Drosophila melanogaster: one gene and its partners. The gene in region 3 interacts genetically with the main gene of each other region. Each region holds a gene or a part of one and is shown on either strand. Other genes may lie near its edges.

Region 1 (3,866 bases), on a different chromosome or scaffold from region 3:
AACGGTGGCCGCCGTGGCTTCGGTGACCACAGATCTCGAGCGAGAAATGTGGAACATAGTGGAGGCCTCCAGTGGCGCCGAGCTGGGTGAAACCAGCTACGAGTTCCCTTCCCCCGCTCCGGGTTCCCAGCGCAGCAGTGAACGAAATAGCAGTTCCACAGTCCCACCAGCTCCTCCTGCTCCTGCGAAGCCCTCAGTTCCGTCCGCCTCCTATGACAACCACAACTACAGTTTCAGCCAGGATGAGGACGAAGATGATGATGATCTGGAGTTTGAGGACGTATTCGTGCCGGCCAGCTCTGTTCCAAATCCCGTTCAGCCTGGCATAGATCCCGTGGAACTGCGTCGCTCCCTGGCTTTGGTCATGAGGGAGAAATTGCGATCGGATGACACGGACTCCAGGCCAATGGGCAACAATCAGGATCTTCCCATAGATGAACAGTCCAGGGAGAGACCGCTCTCCACTCAAACATCTCCCACAAATGGCCCACTTCCGGCTCTTCTGAGGGCCAAACTGCTTGCTGGCAACTCCAATAGCGCTCACTGCCTGCCAGGATCCACGGCGAGTCCTGCTCCCCAGGAGCAATCCGGTATCTTTGTGATCGATAGTGAGGCGAGTCCCGGCTCAAATGGGCACAAGCCTAAGTATCGAAAGGGCACGGCATTCACTCGGAGTTCGCTGAAGAAGAGCCGATCCTGCAACTGTAGCTCCATCGCTAAGGGACGAGGGGTCCACGACGAGCCCAGCAGTAATCTCTGCAGGGATCAGGAGTCCTCTGTACTTCCACAGCATCCGCAGCCAGCCAACCATCCCACAGAGAACTTTTTTAGTCCGCTGAGATCGGTGGGCAGTTTCATGCAGCATTCCAACTTGTTTCACTTCCTCCAGCCTCACGCCGCCCGTCCCACCTCATCGACGGCGTCGTCCACGGCCTCCACGCCCACTCCATCACCACCGCCCATGGGCCAGGCTCAGGAGGAATCGGTTCCAGTGGGTCTGACCACCTCCTCGCCGTCCCTTCTGGCGACCAGCGCGGAGAGTTGACCTTCGCGGTCGGAAAAGAAGCGGGATCAGCAGGAAAGTCCACTGGAAGAGGATCACAAGGATGCGAAAGGGGTAAGGGGTGACCCCTGAGGAAATACTCGCAAGTCAAAGCTTTTACGTTAAGTACTTTCCAGCTCTCTTAGGCTCTCTTTCGGAAACGTTGTCAAATTCTATATCGGATCTAAATCAATTAGTTCGGTAGTGAAATATAGAGATTAGGAGCTATGCGCATTTATTTTGAGTGTATGGTCATAATACGTTTCTACGGACTAGTTAATTATGTACATACATATGTTTAATGTTGTTAGAGTATTTACTGTGTATATGTCAGCTTATGTATACCTGAACGTCTGTGAAAACCAAGTTAAGCCATGCGACATGAATTTCAAAGTTGAAGTTAAATAAAGCGATTAAACCAGAATGTACATTCATGTTGTGTTTTATTTTTGTTGGTTAAATAAGTCCTGATGCGATGTATGCCTATTGGTAGGGTATACAAGTTTTTCTTTTACATATGCTAGTATAGCGGATTTTGGCAAGCCTGTTGATAAAAGCTTTTCCAGAGCTTTTTGGAAGCGACGCCAAAACTATTGGAGCTCACTTGCTCAAAGTTCCCCATCAGATGGTTGGAGTCACTGCTAAATCTAAAACCGGCAACATTTTTAAAACCCCAACAAGCCGTTTATATAATTTCAGAATAACTTTTACTACTCCTTACTTACTATTGTAACCACAATAGAAATGCCGCCTGGAGTACTCAATGATCTGAACAGGAACGGTATCCAGTGCATTGCATCAGTAACGCTTCTCCAGCGATTCCCGTATCATCGGAACCACCACACCATCCCCACCATGGACCAGAACCGACCCACTGTGGGTGGTGTTACGGCGGAGGTACTAAAAGCCGTCGTTTCGGAAGCTCTGCTGGGCAAATTCACAGCTGTTTTCCCAAAGCTTTTCAAGTGCCAGTGGAAGACTTACGAAGGTCAAAAGAAGGTTAGTACATAAGCAGACGAACTTCGAGGTGGGTGTGTGCTCTGTGCCGGGATTAATCTCGAATCTGGGAAAAATCTGAGTGGAAAAGTCGACGGCGAGCCTCCAGTCATCGAGTTACCCACTTGAAATTATCAGTTCCAAACACTCTAATAGCAGTCCCCTTGTTTTGTCCCCCGATCCGCAGTTCTACGCCAATTTCAGCACCGATTGCACCGACAGCAACAGCAACAACATGAGCCGAAAGTTCTGCGTGGGAGGCAACTGGAAGATGAACGGCGACCAGAAGTCCATCGCCGAGATCGCCAAGACCCTGAGCTCGGCCGCCCTCGACCCCAACACGGAGGTGGTCATCGGCTGCCCGGCCATCTACCTGATGTACGCCCGCAACCTGCTGCCCTGCGAGCTGGGTCTGGCCGGCCAGAATGCCTACAAGGTGGCCAAGGGCGCATTCACCGGCGAGATCTCCCCTGCGATGCTGAAGGACATCGGCGCCGACTGGGTGATCCTGGGACACTCGGAGCGTCGCGCCATCTTCGGCGAATCGGACGCCCTGATCGCCGAGAAGGCCGAGCACGCCCTGGCCGAGGGCCTCAAGGTCATCGCCTGCATTGGTGAGACCCTGGAGGAGCGCGAGGCCGGCAAGACCAACGAGGTGGTGGCCCGCCAAATGTGCGCCTACGCCCAGAAGATCAAGGACTGGAAGAACGTGGTGGTGGCCTACGAGCCCGTCTGGGCCATTGGCACCGGCCAGACCGCCACACCCGATCAGGTAAGGTCGCCCGCAGAGGCTAATCTCTTCCAGAACTGATATTTTCCCTTCCCAATTGCAGGCTCAAGAGGTCCACGCCTTCCTGCGCCAGTGGCTGAGCGACAACATCTCCAAGGAGGTGTCCGCCAGCCTGCGCATCCAGTACGGTGGATCCGTGACCGCCGCCAACGCCAAGGAGCTGGCCAAGAAGCCCGACATAGATGGCTTCCTGGTCGGAGGCGCCTCCCTGAAGCCCGAGTTCGTGGACATCATCAACGCCCGGCAGTAAGCAACGCGATCTCAAGCATCAGATCGCTTTCGGCCAGCGAACTGCCCGCGAAGGAGGCACTGGAGGGCAGGACTCCATACTCCTGCGCGCGAATGCATTACGCACACACCTAGTTGTTGTCACCACCAAGTGCAGTTCCAAATTCATAGTTACCTTGCGAGAATGCTACTCACATCCTTGTTGTTGAACGTATAGTAGTCCATTGTGTAAATCTTAAATTATTCAGGCAATAATTATGCGCTACTCATTTACTTATATACCAAACCAAACAGGTGTCTTATTTTTTGCAAGACTATTTCAGCTATTTTTAGAGCGATTGGTTGAACGACAAGGTGTCCAAAGTTGTGTGCACATATGTACATATATGTGTCACCTCTGCGGACCTTAAACCGAACAAGTTATTACTTAATTTCTGATAAGCATGCGAAATGGCAAATATTTGGAATATGAGTTCCAACTGAGTAATCGAGGCAATCATTGTATTCACTTACCTAACAAGTGAATCAAATCATTTGCATCATGTTTTTGACAATATCTTGCATAAAAGCCTTCAAGAAGAAGCAATGCATCATAAGATAGCTTAACTTGAGATAAGAAAGGAAAACAGTTTGTACTTATTATACTTTATACTTATACTCAGAGTTCATTTCTAATCGAAGTGTTCGAAGATTGTGCACAAAGTTTGGCAAATATGGAGCTAAACAAGGCAATTTCTTTGTAGCTGATAAGTTATTTAGCTTAGTAAGTAATTTATGGTTAGTAAATCAACAAAATATTATTCAGTTTTT
Region 2 (5,664 bases), 2.0 Mb from region 3:
TGGCGTGAACTTCAATGCCGTGCGCTCTGACAACGTGTCGTGCTGCTCCGTAACGCTGATCTCTACCTTGGAGTGCACCAATCTCCGACTGAGATGCTCCGACGGGGCAATGGGCGACGGCAGCTCCAGCTCGTGCATTAGAAGTTTCCTCTTTCCCGAGCAAGTACCATTATCGGGCGTGCCAGGCGGCAGTCCGCATAGGTTTCTAATGGGTGAAAGGCAGCCGAAGCTACTTTCCCCGGATGCGGAATCCGACAGTCTGCCAGCGAACATTGTTTGCTTGCCCTGCGGACTGGAGCCCACCATGGACCTCGATGGCTCTGCCGTGTCCTGTTCGCCCAAAACAATGACATTGTGCAGATCGAAGAGTTTCCGGCGCATGGAACTATTAAAGATGTCGGGACCACCACTTGACTTGCTCCTGCCAGACAAGCGGCCAGCCAAATGTGGCTGGAAGTACGGACGCAGGGCATCCTCTAGGGCTTTTGGCAATATCGGCGGCAAAGTAAGTTCCGTTTGCACCTCGCAATCCCGCATCCTTCGCGACTTATTCGATATGGGAGTGTTGTCCTCGCTGCAATTGAGTATTATGCGCTGTTTTCGCAATGGGCAATCCACCGGACTGGGCACAATGAGTGACTCCTTGAAAAAGGCACTGATGGCCAACTGGGCCTTGGATTCCTGCTCGGGATCGGGGGAATCGTGGAACTGGGTTTCATGGGGCTCCACGTCGGCGGGTTTTAGTTGGGAGACCTCGTCAATGTTCCACTCGAACTGGGTGGACGAGAGTTGGGGTGTCCGCGAGCGGAAAAGTGAGGGGCTGCCAGGAAAAGAGAGGGTCGCGTTAAGAGGATTTTTCGAGCAGACGAAAAACTCACCTGGCGATCAGTGGCAGGTGTAAACGATCGGCCATCGCTCCTTCGAAGGGATTCCGCACCTTGTGCAGCCTTTTCGGGGGCGGGGTGCACACATTTCCCGACATCTGGGGGCTGTATTTTCCATTTTCTTTGCCGCCATTCGTTGGCGTTGCCGACGCCGCCGACGAGTTGCTGCTGTTCGAGTGGCTGTTACGGCGCGCCCGGCACTTCAATCCGTTCACATTTGTAATGTATCGATTCTTGAGGGCTTGCGGCGTTCGCACCTCGTCGTTGTACATCTTTTTCAGTCACTAAGTCGCCTAATTTCGACTTAAAATAAAACAAGCGCGCCTGCTGCGACTCGCAGGCAGATGTCGGTATTTTCAAATGCAGCAGTGTTGTATAGCGATGCAGCGGAGTTATCGAATCGTTGGCAATTCGAAAAGCAGAATGCGAAAGTGAGGGATGTTCAAGGAAAAAAAGGTGCTAACGACTGATTTGTCACTTAATATTTATTTATTCGCATATCTAAAAGTGCCTGCAAATTATTTCGACTCCCGTCTAACTTTTAGTATTTTTATTTTGCGCGCCACCCGCTGCTTGCTGTCGATAACACATCAGCTGGGCGACTTTAACCGTTTTATAATAAAATGGGACCAGTCTAAAAATAAAGAATGGTTACTGGTATACAAAATTGTATCCCATTATAAACTTGAGGAATAAGTAGCTCGTAATTATCCGAATATGGATGCATTTCAATATTTGGGCTGCTAGAACCTTTTATTGTTCCTATAACCCGAATAGAGATTCCATTTCAATATAACTTTATCTTGAATGGTTTAGTTTACTTTCTATTTAAACTAATATTCCGTTTTAAATGTTTCAATACTCTTATATTAGAAAAATACCAATGCCAACATCTGAGTACGATTTCGCAACTGGTCACACTGACAGCTGTCTTCTACCAACACATATGCGCGCGTGTGTATGTGTTTGCGTGCAGTGCGAAATAGAAACAAGAAAAGCAAGCGAAAAATCACAGAAATTCACAAAAAAAAAGCCCAACTACTTCCAAAATTGGGCCGCCCGGCGAAGAACCGCAAAAGTGGCCAAAATTCGGCGAAAACAGCGCAAGTGTGACAAAGCATTCGTGCCGCTGCAGTCGTCGGCGAAACGGGCGAAAACAAAAGAGAATAGTGTTGATAGTAATACGAGCGTATTTAGCAGTAGCAGCAGCAGCAGCAGTGGCCGAAGCTTCGGCAGGGGAACGGAACGGTGGGCGGTGGGTGCAGAAGCGGGCCGGGGAACGGCCGAGAACGAAACACTAGCAGTAGCAGCAGCAGCAGCGACAACAACAAATGCCGGTCGCTTTATCACCGCCGATCTAATCAAAACAGTTAACAGCGACAAGCAGCGAGACAGAGTAGCAAAGGGCCACAGGGACGCGAAAAACCCCCTAGATGCCACCAAACATTTGCGCCTATCGGACTGCTTGCGTACCGTGCAAAAACTTGCTATTGAACTTGAGAGCGCCGACGCCGGCAGCGACGCCAGCGCCCAAGCCAACGCTAGCGCCGACGCCAGCAGCGCCGTCATGTCCGAGACGGGTTGTCGGCACTATCAAAGCTATGTGAAGGAGCACAGCTACGATACATTCCGGGTCATCGACGCCTACTTCGCTGCTTGCGTCAACAGAGATGCGCGCGAGCGAAAGGTGAGTTCAGTAGCGTGGAAGAGAGTGGGAGCTAGAATGAGTGCGCTACTGGCGTGGTGAGGTGAGAATGTGCGAGTGTGCGAAGGGGAGAACGCAATTACAATCAGAGGTGCGCCGTGAGTCACGTGAAAGGTCACTGACACCCCGGCTGTGGGATGACAGTGGCAGACAACGCACCGTTCTCACCACAAAGCAGTGCGGACTTTTTTGAATGGGTAAAGCATGCAACAGCTGTTTTAACAGCTGACAAATTGGCACTGTGAAAAATACTTTTGCATCGAAAAAGTTTTGTTTTCATTACGGTGAAATTACATATCAAGAAAAATATATTCAAAATATTTAATATTGTTACATGGCTTTTGTATTTTTAGCTTCATATTGATTATATATTATATTGCTTACGAGATTTAGAGTTTTCAAATTTTTGTTACACTTTTATGCATTTAGTATGGGACGTATTTTTTGTAAAGTTAATGGGATTAGAAAAAAAACGAATATAATTTTTTATCAGCTGCCATTTTAAAATCTACCTCCGCCAGGCTATTCACTGCAACTGCTTCGAGTGCGGCAGCTACGGCATCCAGTTGTACGCTTGCCTGCACTGCATCTACTTCGGATGTCGGGGGGCCCACATCACGAGTCACCTGCGATCCAAGAAGCACAATGTGGCCCTGGAGCTGTCCCACGGAACGCTCTACTGCTACGCCTGCAGAGATTTCATCTACGACGCGCGGAGTCGCGAGTATGCGCTGATCAACCGCAAGCTGGAGGCGAAGGATCTGCAGAAGAGCATCGGCTGGGTGCCGTGGGTTCCCACAACCAAGGAGACCAATCTGCTGCTGGCCAATGCGAGGCGTCGGCTGGTGAGGCCCAATCAAACGATCGGACTGAGGGGTCTGCTTAATCTGGGCGCCACTTGCTTCATGAACTGCATCGTCCAGGTGGGCAAATCCAATTAAACTGGCGAGTCTCCTCTCACTGACTTACTCCTGTCTCCTCTAGGCTCTGGTTCACACGCCCCTGCTCAGCGATTACTTTATGTCAGATCGTCACGACTGCGGCAGCAAGTCATCGCACAAATGTCTCGTTTGTGAAGTGTCACGTCTCTTCCAGGTGAGTTCAATATGCTGTGGTGTTTATGAGGAGTCTTTTCTATTCGATATGCTATCCCCCTTTGTAGGAGTTCTATTCCGGCTCCCGTTCGCCGCTGTCGCTGCACCGGCTACTGCATTTAATCTGGAACCATGCGAAGCACTTGGCCGGCTACGAGCAGCAGGATGCGCACGAGTTCTTCATCGCCACTCTGGACGTGCTGCATCGGCACTGCGTGAAGGCAAAGGCGGAGCACGAAAGCAAGAGCAACAGCTCTGGCTCGGGAAGTGGAACCAATTCCAGCAACTCGAGCAGCTCGCATTGCTACGGCCAGTGTAATTGCATCATTGACCAGATCTTCACGGGCATGCTGCAGAGCGATGTGGTGTGCCAGGCCTGCAACGGAGTGTCCACCACGTACGATCCGTTTTGGGACATTTCGCTGGACCTGGGCGAAACAACAACGCATGGTGGTGTTACTCCAAAAACGCTGATAGACTGCCTGGAGCGGTACACTCGGGCCGAGCATCTCGGATCGGCGGCCAAAATCAAGTGCTCTACCTGCAAATCCTACCAGGAGTCCACCAAACAGTTCAGCCTGCGCACTCTGCCCAGCGTGGTGTCGTTCCATTTGAAACGCTTCGAGCACTCAGCTCTGATCGATCGCAAGATCTCCTCGTTCATTCAATTCCCCGTGGAGTTCGACATGACGCCCTTTATGTCGGAGAAGAAGAACGCCTACGGCGACTTCCGGTTCTCTCTGTACGCCGTGGTCAATCATGTGGGCACCATCGACACCGGCCACTATACGGCGTATGTGCGGCACCAGAAGGACACGTGGGTCAAGTGCGATGATCATGTGATAACGATGGCATCGCTCAAGCAGGTGCTGGACAGCGAGGGGTAAGAATGACCAATATATTACAACTTTATCACCGCAAAAGCAGCATTCAATGTTAACTTACTTAAGTTGATTTCACGTCTTATCTTAAATTCATATACAACGTTATTTAGCTTTTTATTCGGATTATCAAATCATTATTAACTAACTACTTATTTTCACTTCTTTCAGTTATTTATTGTTCTACCATAAAAATGTGCTGGAATACGAGTAAGAAAATCCGCTGAGATCGATTAAAGCAGCGACTGCATCCCTCAAAAAACAAAAGCAGAAAACAGAAGTCAATGCATTACGAATTACGAATAAACACAAAATACAGACAAGGACGCGGCAGCGCTTACATATTAAGTAATATTAACACAAACACGAAAGCAATCCTACAATTTGAGGAGTGTTCATTTGATTCGATTGGGGTTATTCAAGCTCACAAACTCAAAACATTGGAACGAACAATGGAGAACAAAAAAAAAGGAAATTAATGAAAATGTAATCAATCTGAACACTCGATTTGTGGAGATACCCGTTTTGCTCTAAGTATTTCAAATCCATAATACTAAAAACAAAATCAAAAACAACAAGCAGATGACTTATACATTTATATTTAAAAATCAAACAAGGGATATTCTACAAACGCCGTATTACAAATGGAAAGCGAATTTTTATCATTTTTCTTGAAATGCCTTTTATTGAAAAAAAAAATGTTAAAAACTCATTTTCAGACACATCCGTTATAACTGAACCAAAATCCAAATCATGCTTATGAATGTCATGGATTTTTTTTATTTCGTCTTCATTTAAATAAGGAGAGCAATAATTGTAAATTTAAATACTTACATTTTTGGGGGCTTAGGAAACTGGGATTAAGATACATTGCAATTATTTAAAAAACAAAAAAAAATTACAACCGACGTCAACTTGGGCTCGTCCGGGAATTGAACCCGGGACCTCTCGCACCCGAAGCGAGAATCATACCTCTAGACCAACGAGCCTGCGGTACTGGGAGCGATCAGAATGACGCTTTTTAATGTGCGAGCCCTCTCACTCCATCGCTCTGCCTTGTGCTATGAGCAGGCTAAAAAGAGACAACTATAGTGTGCGCT
Region 3 (3,237 bases):
AAACAAACGTGCGAATTATGTCATGTATTCGGCTAGCGTCTGCCACCGTTCTGGCAGGGGTCCGTCCCCCGCCGGCAGCAAGCGGAGGTGGAGCCTTGCGCCTGTTGACTAAACGGAATCCGGATGCTGCATTCGCACGCCGCCAGTTTGCTGTAGCGGTTGAAAACGGCGGAGGCAGAAAGAAGCCGAATGGAACTTTCAAGCTCGCAGTTTTGGGGGCCACCGTAGGCGCGGCCACCGGATCGGTGTATACGATGTACCAGCGGTGGACAGACGGCAGCTCGCACAAAGAGCACGAGGAGACGAAGCCGACGCGGCTGGACGGGATTCCGGCTGGAGTGCGGATAACCAAGCGCTATGTCAACCCCAAGGACACGTCCGGTTTGGACATTGTGCTGTTCCAGTTCCAGACGTGTCCCTTCTGTTGCAAGGTGCGCGCTTTCCTCGACTACATGGGCATATCCTATGCGGTGGTCGAAGTGGATGCCGTCCTACGGCAGGACATCCGCTGGTCGTCGGTGAAGAAGGTGCCGATGGTGCTCATCCGACAGCAGGACGGCAAATACGTCCAGATGGTGGACTCAAGTGCCATCATATCCCTTATAGCCACCCACCTGCAGGACAAGCGCACCGACATCGGCGAGCTGGCACAGTTCTATCCGCACACCTCCTTCTTCGACGATGATGGCAAAAAGAAGAACGACATATTGAATAAATACTTCCTCATGTACCGCGAGCATACGCCCAAGGGAGTATCCAAGGAAACGGATGAGTAAGTTAACCAGGGTCAAGTAATCTTTTAATCAAATCTTTTAACCTTGAGTGTCTGTTCTTAGAACCGATCGCAAGTGGAGAAGCTGGGCCGACAGCCACTTGGTGCATCTAATATCGCCCAACTGTTATCAGACCATGGGCGAGTCCCTAGAGACTTTTGAGTGGTTCTCGCAAGCTGGCGAGTGGGACGTTCACTTCCCCAAATGGGAGCGCGACCTGATGGTTTACTGTGGTGCCACCGCCATGTGGGCCATAGCCAAGATGCTGAAGCGCCGTCACGCCCTCAGCGACGACGTCAGGTCGCACATGTACGATGCCCTTGACCAGTGGACCACTGAGCTGAAAAAGAGGAACACGAAATTCATGGGCGGAAAACAGCCAAGTCTGGCTGATCTATCGGTTTTCGGCGTGCTTTCAAGCATGGAGGGGTGTCAGACGTTCAAGGATTGTCTGCAAAACACCAGCATCGGTAAATAAGGTTTCTTTCTCGGGTTTTGTACCTTTTTACGAACTTTTTACATATTTCCGCAGGTAAATGGTTTTATGACGTCAAGGCGTTGGTGGAGAAGAATCGTGGGCAGTTGCAAAGAGAACGTATTGAAAACATGGCCGCTATAGCTTAAAACAAATATTTGCCCTTATTTTATCCAAAGATTGTTGAAAATAACCGAAATGTTCATTAAAATATACATTTTAATCAAATCTAGTTTGCCGTTTCGTTTATGGTATCTGAATGTATATATTTGGTCAAAAACGCGTAAGGAGTGCAAGTTTATGGTACAAATTGGAATTAATTTTAGGTTTTATATTGTTATTTTATTTATATGTTAAATTAAAAATGTTTACTAAATAAATACCTCCTGCTAATAAAAATATCCCAAACCGACGTATGTATACCTATCGATAACGTTTAAGCAGGCTGGATCCGATGCTCAACAACGGTCACATTGATTTTGTGATTTTGGTTAGCCGCTTGCAAACTTGCAAATCATTTCGTTGGTTTTTTACTTGGCGAGTTAATTGGTGAATTTCAGCACAAAACATGAGCAGATTGGGCTTTGAGCAATTCCCGGACTACCAGGTGCCCGGCATGAAGCATCCTGATTTCTCGCCCTACGAGTCCAATGGCGGGTGAGTTGCTATTTCCCAGCGGAATCGAGATGTGGAAGAATGTCTCCATCTAACCGGAGTCTTCCCTGTTTACAGCTCCATTGTGGCCATCGCCGGAGATGACTTTGCCGTAATTGCAGCGGACACCCGCCTGAGCAGCGGCTACAACATTCACTCGCGAACGCAGAGTAAACTCTTTAAACTCTCGCCCCAGACAGTGTTGGGTTCCGCAGGCTGCTGGGCGGACACGCTCTCGTTGACCGGATCGATTAAGGTGCGCATGCAGAGCTACGAGCATACCCATCTGCGCACCATGACCACTGAGGCCGTGGCCCAGATGCTCTCCATCGCCATGTACAATCGCCGCTTCTTCCCGTACTACGTGTCGAACATTCTGGCTGGAATTGACAACGAGGGCAAGGGCGTCGTCTACTCCTACGATCCCATCGGTCACTGCGAGAAGGCTACATACCGCGCCGGCGGCACTGCCGGCACCCTGCTGCAACCGGTGCTGGACAACCAGATTGGTCACAAGAACATGAATTTGGAAGACGCCGACAAGATCAAGTTAACCAAGGAGCGGGCCGTGAGCGTTGCCTCCGACACCTTCATCTCTGCCGCTGAGCGCGACATCTACACCGGCGACTCTGTGCTGATCAACATCATAACCAAAGATGGAATTGAAGTACGAACTCTGACGCTGCGTCAGGACTAGCCTGTGGCGAGGATGTTGCCGTTTCTTTTGGTTAGGGGCATTCGGTGGAAACCAGGCATTCTAAGTTAGTTGGCTTCAAATTTTTGTATTTACCCAAAACAACAAAACATCGTAATAAACCGAATCTTTGAGATTTAAAATATGCGGCCTAGTGTGACCAGCTGGTCCTAGAAATAAATCGTTCCCAAGCAGTGCTCACAGAAGAGGCTGTGCGAATAGTACAGCTTTCCCCGTACCAACAAATCCATTTTGCTAGCTAAGTTTGTGCCCGCTGGTGTGCGTTAACAAAATCATTTCTTAGTGTTCGTCTCTCAGAGAATTCAGTCCAATGACGAGTTTCGAGTTTGCACTGCTGCCGCTTCTGTTTTTGCCACTGATCCTGGAAAACCCGCTAACCTCCGCCCAAATGATGTCATCGCTGGTGAAGCCGGGCATTTTCCGGCACCTAATGTGCCGCAACAACATGTATCCGCGCAGCTCAGTCCTCCGGTACCCAGTTTCCGACGAACAGGTCTTCTGGTCGGAGCCGTTCCCGGACTACTGCCCGCCTGCGTACACGGCGCCACATATTGGCGGGCAGGTGTGGGCTGATCCGCCGTTGCCCAGCGACACATTCTGGCCACAGTGGAATCAGCTGG

The links. A genetic interaction does not mean that the proteins touch.
Region 1: of Prosbeta6 (region 3) and Tpi, changing one suppresses a phenotype caused by changing the other (phenotypic suppression), as found in Drosophila melanogaster (one study listed by BioGRID).
Region 2: of Prosbeta6 (region 3) and not, changing one enhances a phenotype caused by changing the other (phenotypic enhancement), as found in Drosophila melanogaster (one study listed by BioGRID).

The regions. Positions count from the first base shown.
Region 1 is NT_033777.3:30,132,454-30,136,319, reverse strand, and holds Tpi (triose phosphate isomerase), read left to right. Parts: upstream 1-1,720; 5' UTR 1,721-1,786; coding exon 1,787-2,041; exon of another isoform or gene 2,042-2,225; coding exon 2,226-2,810; intron 2,811-2,871; coding exon 2,872-3,078; 3' UTR 3,079-3,339; downstream 3,340-3,866. Other genes in the region: AdoR (adenosine receptor), read left to right, coding at 1-1,045.
Region 2 is NT_037436.4:18,618,279-18,623,942, reverse strand, and holds not (non-stop), read left to right. Parts: upstream 1-1,813; 5' UTR 1,814-1,830; coding exon 1,831-2,571; intron 2,572-3,110; coding exon 3,111-3,512; intron 3,513-3,573; coding exon 3,574-3,684; intron 3,685-3,751; coding exon 3,752-4,566; intron 4,567-4,735; coding exon 4,736-4,778; 3' UTR 4,779-5,137; downstream 5,138-5,664. Other genes in the region: bora (aurora borealis), read right to left, coding at 1-820, 879-1,156. UniProt on the Drosophila melanogaster protein: Histone deubiquitinating component of the transcription regulatory histone acetylation (HAT) complex SAGA. Catalyzes the deubiquitination of histone H2B, thereby acting as a coactivator in a large subset of genes.
Region 3 is NT_037436.4:16,608,898-16,612,134, reverse strand, and holds Prosbeta6 (proteasome beta6 subunit), read left to right. Parts: upstream 1-1,716; 5' UTR 1,717-1,816; coding exon 1,817-1,905; intron 1,906-1,980; coding exon 1,981-2,599; 3' UTR 2,600-2,735; downstream 2,736-3,237. Other genes in the region: Su(P) (suppressor of ref(2)P sterility), read left to right, coding at 18-772, 837-1,243, 1,306-1,397; CG4098 (uncharacterized protein), read left to right, coding at 2,928-3,237. UniProt on the Drosophila melanogaster protein: Non-catalytic component of the proteasome, a multicatalytic proteinase complex which is characterized by its ability to cleave peptides with Arg, Phe, Tyr, Leu, and Glu adjacent to the leaving group at neutral or slightly basic pH.